Linked DNA regions of Oryzias latipes. The protein of the gene in region 1 interacts with the protein of each later gene in a biochemical or structural test. Links are inferred from orthologs where the notes say so. Each region holds a gene or a part of one and is shown on either strand. Other genes may lie near its edges.

Region 1 (4,277 bases):
GACAGTTTTTTGTGGAATGATGCTGAATGGAGAAGAGAAAGACCTTTATCAGTAAGGGCGGCCATCTGTTGTGATGGATTGTGGGATATAAAAGAGAGAGGGTTAGACTAGGGTTCTGCAACCTGAAGCTCCAGAGCCACACACGACCCCATTTTTCCCTCTTTGGCTTTGAAGAAAAATGCCAACAATCTGAACAAATGGGTTTGTAGTTTAAATTAATGTGTTTTAGTTAATTAAGTTTCATTGATATTTTTTATTAGAACGAGCTTAAATACCATCTTCTGCTGCATAACAGTTGCTGTTCAAAGGCAAAGTTCTTAAAGTATATACTGTAGTTGCATCTATTGGATTTTACACCAGTGTTCTGTTAATCTTCAGAAGTAAAAGGAGAAAAAGGATGAAGGTGCACTAGTCATGGCAAGAAAAACGTAATGTTTGGCTTTCTGGAATTTCTAATTTAAGTAAATCTGCTGCAGTAGGAGAATCTGATTTGACACAGGATGTATTTTATTCTGAAAGGAACTTTTATGTGCTGCTGTCAAAAGTAAATGAAATTGTTAAGTGTAGAAAAATATAACAGTCATAATTTAACAATTATTATAAATATTTAAAAGCTTTTTTTTTGTTTTAAATAACTGAAAAAAATAAATGAACACAAAAAATAGATAAAAGGTATTTTTTCTAAACGGAGAGGTGGGACTTTGTAGTTATCGCTGGGTTTTGGTCAGTAAGAAACTGGATCAAATGGCTTTAAAGGTTTCTGACCTCTGAGTTGGACTAACACAAAAACATCAAAGCATCAGCTAGAAGACATACAGTACATACAGTTATAAATGCAACAATGGGAGACGAGGAAGAAGACTATCGGGTGATTTCAGTATCATAATTGTACCTCAAAATTATATTTGTGAAACAAAGAATGTGCACATGTGAATGTACAGTGTATTACGTGTTTGCATACATATATATTTGTGAATCAGAATGTGTACATTTGTAAAACAGTTGTGTGCATTTCCAAACTATGATACTGAACTGCCCTGAGAAAAAGAAACTCAAAACTAAAAAAAAAAGTTCAGATTTTGGAGATGAACTTTTTAGGCCAGTAGGACCAATGGGGGAACCTTAAAATGTGATGTGATTGTTTGTTCAACATTTGAAATATAACACAAATTCATAAAAAATATAATATAAAGCATCAATATTAACTATTCAAAACTCAAACACTCGATTAGGTAAGATAAGAAATAAACGTTCTTGATCCCAATCTGTATGCAGCAACAACCAATAGGAATTTACGAAATTTACAAGAAATGTTGACTTAAATGTATACAGATGTACATTTAGTGTGGTATTTTGCTGTCCTGTTGCATGAAAACTGTTCAGATCCAGACTGAACTTGCCTGGCAGATGTCCTGACGTTGCCGTGGAATCACGTGCGCACATCTGGAGGAGGACCCTGCGCAGAAAAAAAATCTTTCACCAATATCCTCCCTTCACGGAGCAACCCTAAAGGAACTGAGGCTCTACTGCGTAGACTTTTCTGACTTTATTGAACATTTCGTGCGCTCGGTTCAGAGACACAGCCCCCTAAGTCCCGGGTATTTTGCGCTGGATTTGTTGTGTGCGCTCAGATGTGGAGTTAGTCAGTTCTGCTCGGTTTCCTCCTCGTCTCTGGTGCCTGTGAGGACAGTTTCGTCTTCTCGTCGGGGAGACAGACGGTTGGTGAAGTTGGGCAGAAATGCGGCTGCAGCTGCTCGGCCTGACCTGCGCGCTCTGCTGCTGGAGCTTAATCTCAGCAAATGTGCTGGAAGCAGAGGTAAGGCTGATCCATGTTTGTTTTTTATTAATTAATCATGCATTTTTTAAACTAGGGCATATTAATTATGAGCTTGAAGTTTGTAAATTTGATAGTTTTTTTTTTTTAATATCCTCTTTTTCCCTTTTCCTCCTCATATTTTTGTAAATAAATCCTCAAGTGTCCACGTTTGTTTTTGTCTGCACGGCTCAGCTGAGCTGCTTTGTTCTAAAGGGGGAGCAGTGGTGGTACTAAGGGGGAGGGGGCTAATGGGTTTCATCTGTTTGGTTTGAGGAGACACCATTTCTGGAAGCTTTTTTGCTTTCACAAACTTCAGGAGCTTCAACTCAGGGTCTGAGGGGCTGCAGTTTTTGCTCCATGGAAACACTAACATTTAAGCCTTTACTTTGGTAAACAAGGCTTGCGCAACATGTCTGTGCTCCTAAGGAGTCAAAGAAGAACTGAAGGTATTTTTGTGCAAGATCCCTGTCACATCTTAATCAGCAAAGCTGTGAGGAAACACAGATCGGAGATGCTTATCTGAAATGACCCAGATCGCACCATAGATTTTACAGGAAATTGGATTTATATACCAATTAACGATTAATCAACTTCTTTGATTATATTCCTTCAATTCAAGTTGTTAATAATGTCAATCTATAACAATATAAAATTGTTTCAAACATGAAATATTTCGACTATATCAATATTGGAAAATACCATTTGGATTGAGGATCGATAGGTTTATTTTAATATGATGTAAACGTGACCAAGTGGATCAAAACGGACAAACACACTTGTGATGGCAGGAAAAAAATGATCAGGCCATCATTATTGTCCAATGTGTGGAAATTTGACATGTGACCATACAGTGTGAAAGAATGTTGTAATAATGTTCTGTTTGTGTTATTTTGATGTGGAAAAACAATGAAATTTATGAAACTTAAATGTAAACATATTTGCCATCAATTCCTGTTTTCTTGTTTGTTTGTACACATATTTGATTTACACTTGATTATTTTGCATAAAAAACAAAGGAATCTGGAAAACTTCACTTGCGCTGTTCAGTGCCCAGGTATTCATCTCTGAGTCTCACTGGTTGAATTTTTGGTCAAAGATGTGCTGAATAGATTTTAGGTCAGTGAATCGGATCGAATTAGATCGTTTAAAATGAAGCGACCATAAATCGGATTGTCAACCACAAATAAGTTTATGAATCGAATCATTGCAATAAGGAATTGTTACTTCCCTGCACACCAAATAGTCATATTTCCTGCAGAAAAGTAGCATTGGAGGACATTTGCAGGAGACTGTGTTGCATTGTGGGTGGGCACTGGATGAGCAATGTAGCCAAAGCAGACCTTAGTCACTGACCACAAGGCGAGACAAAGGCAAGTCAGACAGTTTACAAGAAGCTGGAGCCGGCTCCCCCACCATGGAGAACTGAGCTCACACATGTTATGGTTTAAACAGAAACAAGATTGCAGAAAATTTGACTGCTTCAAATTGAGATCACATCTTGGAATCAAGGTGGAGATGAAATAGACTGCATTTTTCCCACTCATATCAGGAATCAAGTGAAAATGTTGTGTCTTGGTGAAGTTTGCCTCCACAAAAGTCTCCAGTGACCTGAAGTCAGTCTGAATGCAGAAAGAGGCTCAACTTTAATTATAGGTTCAGGATTACATCAGCATAAGAAACCTGTGATCAAAAGATAGACACGTCTGTCTCAGAAAAAAAAAGACTAAACTGGAACTTGGCAGATAGAGAACAAAATATTGAAACAAAATAACAATGGTGTTCAACAGAAGTGAAACTCCTTATGACAGGTTTTTTTTTTAGAAACTTCAAATAAAGCACATTTCAAAGTTTCAGAGGAACTTTGTGGTGTCATAGTGTTGCCCAATTCAAGAACATCCTTCTCTGACTTCATCCTGACACACTAAACCCATTTAATGCATGTTGAGTGAAAAAAGAAGCCCCACCAAGAGAGACGTAAAACTTCCTCACTTCTCAGAAAATGAAATGGTCTCTTCTGAAGTTGGCCTCAGGACATTATTTTCATTCACATTTTTTCCCCCTCTCAAACCTTGCTAAAGTTTAATAAAATGCTTAGCTAGACACTACGACCAAAGGAAGCGGGCAGCAATAAAAACAGCAAGTTCCCAACACATTACAAAAATGGGAAATTTAGCATCTGAAGACACATGTTTCATGGTCCAAACACATCTGGGTTTCATTTCGTTTCTCGTTTTTGGAGGGGTTTATACTTTCAGAAAAAACTCTTGTCATGGTCAAATAAAACAGAGATTTGACTGGCAGCTTTTGACACCTAAACAGGCTCAGATAATTAGAAACTGATGAACATGTGTTCATAAGTAAACCGGTCCAGCTTGCATCATCTGATTTTGATCATCTGGTTTTTGATTAGCATGATCAGATTGTTGGAATCGACTGAGGTCAGGTTCTAGGCTTAACGTTT
Region 2 (4,100 bases), on another chromosome or scaffold:
GCTGAGCCTGATTTATGAACTAAGAAGAAATTAGATAAATAAATGAAATTGAACACGGCTGAACAAAAACCTTGTATCTTTAGCCTAATTAAAGGTTAAACACACAAAGATCCAGCAAAGATGGAAGGAAAACCAAACCTTTATATATAGACTGAGAGGTAATGACCAAACAGAAAACAGGTTTGATGATTGAAAAATGAAAACAGGTGTGATACTAAGCGAGGCCTACAAATAAAAAAGAAAAAAAACTGACTAAACAAACATGAAAACTGAAATAAATCAAAATAAAAAACACAACGTATCACAAAAACCTTTAACCAAGAACTAAAAGGAATGTTTTTGAGCAAGTTTCCGAAACAAATCTAAGTTTTCCGTCTTTTTAAATTCACATTTAAATACCCAAAACCCAACTAAACTTTATAAAGCTTTATAATGTCCTAAAACTACAAAGAAGACATGCAAACTATTATGTTTTAAATAAAAGTTTAGGCACAACATATCCCAATCTCTTAATCTACCGTTACACTCTGCAGATAGATTTTTTTTTATCTAAAGGGATTTTTGAATTGATCACTGGATATGTAAGTGGACTACCAGACCACACTGTGACCAATTCAATCCACATGCATGTTATGATCTGACGATAATTGTTCAAAAGATTAAAGAGCACCTCAGACTTTTGTTCTATTTTATTGTTAGAACAACACATCTTTGTACCATACGCGCAATGAGTCTGAGCTTTAAACTATGTTAAAAGATAGAAAAATCCACTGGCATATGGAATCATTTGGTTCTGCCTCACATTGTCTTTTTTCTTTCGTCCTGGTAAAAACAAAAACAAAAAGAGAAGATGAAATGTTTGCATCAAGTGTTGCATAAGTCTGCTTTTGCAGTTTTTGTGTGCTGTTGTCAGATTTTCCAAAGCTTGTGAGGCACGGCTCAATTCATTTTCTCCTCAAAACTGCCGTCTGGTATAATGGCTGCCAAAGGTTGTTGCATATTTATTTCCACACATCTGTTTTTTTTTACCAGAACATTCCTACAGCTACTCAAGCTCAGGTTCTGCACGCATATTCTGGGACATTTGTTCATAAGAAAAATTTGGATTTTTGTGCACAGATATATTGCTAAGAAGTGTTGGTAAAGATGTGCTGAAATATTCCAAATTCTTTGCAGCACCTGTTCTTTGTTAGTTACCACCAGGCTTTTGGACAAAGGTTTCGGGATGACGTCCTGACTCCTGTTTGCTAAGCCTCCCATCTTTCCGCTCCTCTTCCCTCCCCTTTTCTCTTCAGTCTCTCCATCAACCCGTCTCTCCTCCCCCTCTTTTCTCTTTTTTGTTTTTCTCCAGAGATTTGCAGTTTTTCCACACCACATTGCTCTTACCTCCTGGCCTTCCACCCCAAAAACACAAAGAAAGAGAAGCACAGGTATGGCTTTGAGATTTCCTGTTTGAATTTATGTCTGTTTTTTCCTGATGGAATTGCTGTTTTAGGCTGATACTGCAAATACATGTTATTAATTAAGCAAAAGTAAGGACAGGTTTAAATACTGGTATTTACGTTTCACCTGCTTAGGTTAGGTTGGATTTTGTGTCTGTATTTTTCTCAAGAATCAATCGGTCGGTACTATTAAAAGTCAATTTTGTTGCACTTCCAATGGCTCAGAGTGTTGGACCTTTTTCTAAATTTGTTTCATTTACCTTTTGCACCAAACTGGATCACTATTTTTATTAAGATTGTGTTTTTTGGTTCTGCTGTAATCTTTAATGTGGCTTGACACTAAAGCGAACATCTGGATTTGTTGGTCCAAGCGTGGTTGACATAAATTCTTGACTGATTTTGGAACTATATGTGTGTCCCTTGGGTGCCAGGAGCCATTGGGGTTACATTTTGTTGATATTTTTTTATGTGATTGTTAAGAATTTCAAATCCAACGTGTTGTTTGCCTATCCATAATTGAACAGCAGATTGATTTTATTTATGTAGATTTATTTTGCTCTTGAAAATCCACTCTGATGAAAATTGTGTTTTTTGTTTTTGTCCTTGGGGCATTTTCTCATGATGGAGGACATGCATGTAAAAATAAAATTAAGCTCAAAAATGCATTTCAGAGTATGTCTTTATTCAAATCGTTGTGAATTAGAGCAAAAGAAAAAAATGCAGTTTGTAAAAGAGCATATTTGTGATGTACAAAATATGCTGGGTGAGCTCCTTGCTCCGCCTCATTCTGATTCATCCACTTGTAGATGAGAAAATCCATTACGTCTTTGTGTTCCTAATCCGAGATGGTATGTGGCTTCAAACTGTACATATAGCTTGAATATTGCTCGCCATTTTTGTTGCACCAGTAATGTTGGGCTATGAGAGCATGTAAACAAAGCTCTTAGGGTGCTCTGGGTGACAGGAAGGAGGGTGGGGTTGCTCCATGCCAATGGTCCTGTCCCAAACTCAGAAGCTAATGAACTCGTGCCCTTCTGTAGAAACTATGTCCTAAAAAATAAAAAAAATTTTTTTTGCTAAAAACATATTTTTCAAATCTCCTTTCCTCTTTTGTCTCCCCAGCAGAAGTCATGCTTCCTCTCAGTCTACCCCTCTTGGCTTTACTGGTCAGCTTTGCCCAATGCCAAGAGTACGACTATGACTACCAGCCTCATTCCATGTCAATGCCATCAGGGCCAAACTGTAATCAAGAGTGTACCTGCCCAGTCACTTTCCCCACCGCCATGTACTGCGATAACCGCAAGCTTAGGTTTGTTCCGGTGGTCCCAAAAGGAATCAAGTATCTGTACCTCCAGAACAATATGATTGAAGAGATCAAAGCTGGAGTTTTTGATAATGTTACTGATGAACTGCGCTGGCTGATACTTGACAACAACCAGATCACAAATCCGAAGATTGAGAAGGGTACAATTGATAAGCTCACAGCCCTGGAGAAGCTGTTCTTCAGCTTTAACAACCTCACAGAGCCGGTCATCCCTCCCTCAAAGTCCCTTGATGAGCTGAAAATTATGAACAACAAGTTGTCCAAGTTTCCTGCTGGGCTCTTGAATGACAAGGTGAACTTGACCTTCATCTACCTTCAGCATAATGAGTTAACCTCTGATGCTATAGGAGGAGCTTTCAAGGGGTTAAAGGGGCTGTTGTCCCTGGATGTGAGTTACAACAAGCTAAAGAAACTGCCAACTGGACTCCCAAACTCACTAGAAATCCTCTACGCTGACCACAATGACATTGAAAGCATTGGATCAGGGTACCTGAACAAGTTACCCAATCTGAGATACCTGAGGATCTCTCACAACAAGATGGTGGACTCTGGAATCCCTGCTGGGGCTTTCAATGTGACGTCCCTGACTGAACTGGACCTCTCTTTCAACAAACTGCAGTCCATTCCTGAAATCAACGAGCAGCTGGAGCAACTCTACCTTCAGGCCAATGAGATCAACAGTAAGTTGAGATTTAGGGAAAGGTCATCATATTTGATTTAATGGTGTTCTTCGGAGATTTTATGACAAAGCACAAACGGTTTTTATAAAGATTTTAAAAAAAGCATCTTACCTTATGAGCATGCCACATATTCAAAAACAGAAATATTCATTGAGTTTAAATTGAAAGCTACGTTCATCCTGCCCTCGGCAACGCACGTTCAAGCGACCATTTCCAATCAAAAGTCTATGTAAACTCATGTGAATGCCCATTTCGGGGTTCCGCATTCAAACTCTCACATTCACACGTCGCTTCACAAGTTTCCACAATCGTTTCGACGTACAAAACACTTTGCCACTGAATGTGCGTTTAAAAGTTAAACCAGGTTGAACTTTGACCAATGGAGGACCGGGATTTGGTAGTGACATATGAATGGCACCCCTTTACTTTCACTTAAAAATTTAATTCAATTTGAAAACTGAACATGCAAGACAAATGAATAATAACGGTTTGTGCCCAACCAGAATTCAATGACACTAAGTCTTTTGCATATCAGCATAGAGATGTGAAAGATGAAGCCTGGAGCAAGATTTGCGTGATTTGCACAGCTTCCAAATGTCGCTCTTCCACTGTAGCTGGCAGTCATGCACTGGTACACATAAAAAAAAAGAAGAA

The links.
Region 2: the proteins of matrix metalloproteinase-14 (region 1) and lum interact in a biophysical measurement, tested with the Homo sapiens proteins (2 studies listed by BioGRID and IntAct, with this or other methods). The link is inferred for Oryzias latipes from reciprocal best matches to the Homo sapiens genes MMP14 and LUM.

What each region holds. Positions count from the first base shown.
Region 1 is NC_019876.2:17,839,221-17,843,497, forward strand, and holds the start of matrix metalloproteinase-14, read left to right. Parts: upstream 1-1,477; 5' UTR 1,478-1,738; coding exon 1,739-1,816; intron 1,817-4,277.
Region 2 is NC_019881.2:17,040,184-17,044,283, forward strand, and holds the start of lum (lumican), read left to right. Parts: upstream 1-1,300; 5' UTR 1,301-1,430; intron 1,431-2,564; exon of another isoform or gene 2,565-2,567; 5' UTR 2,568-2,572; coding exon 2,573-3,446; intron 3,447-4,100.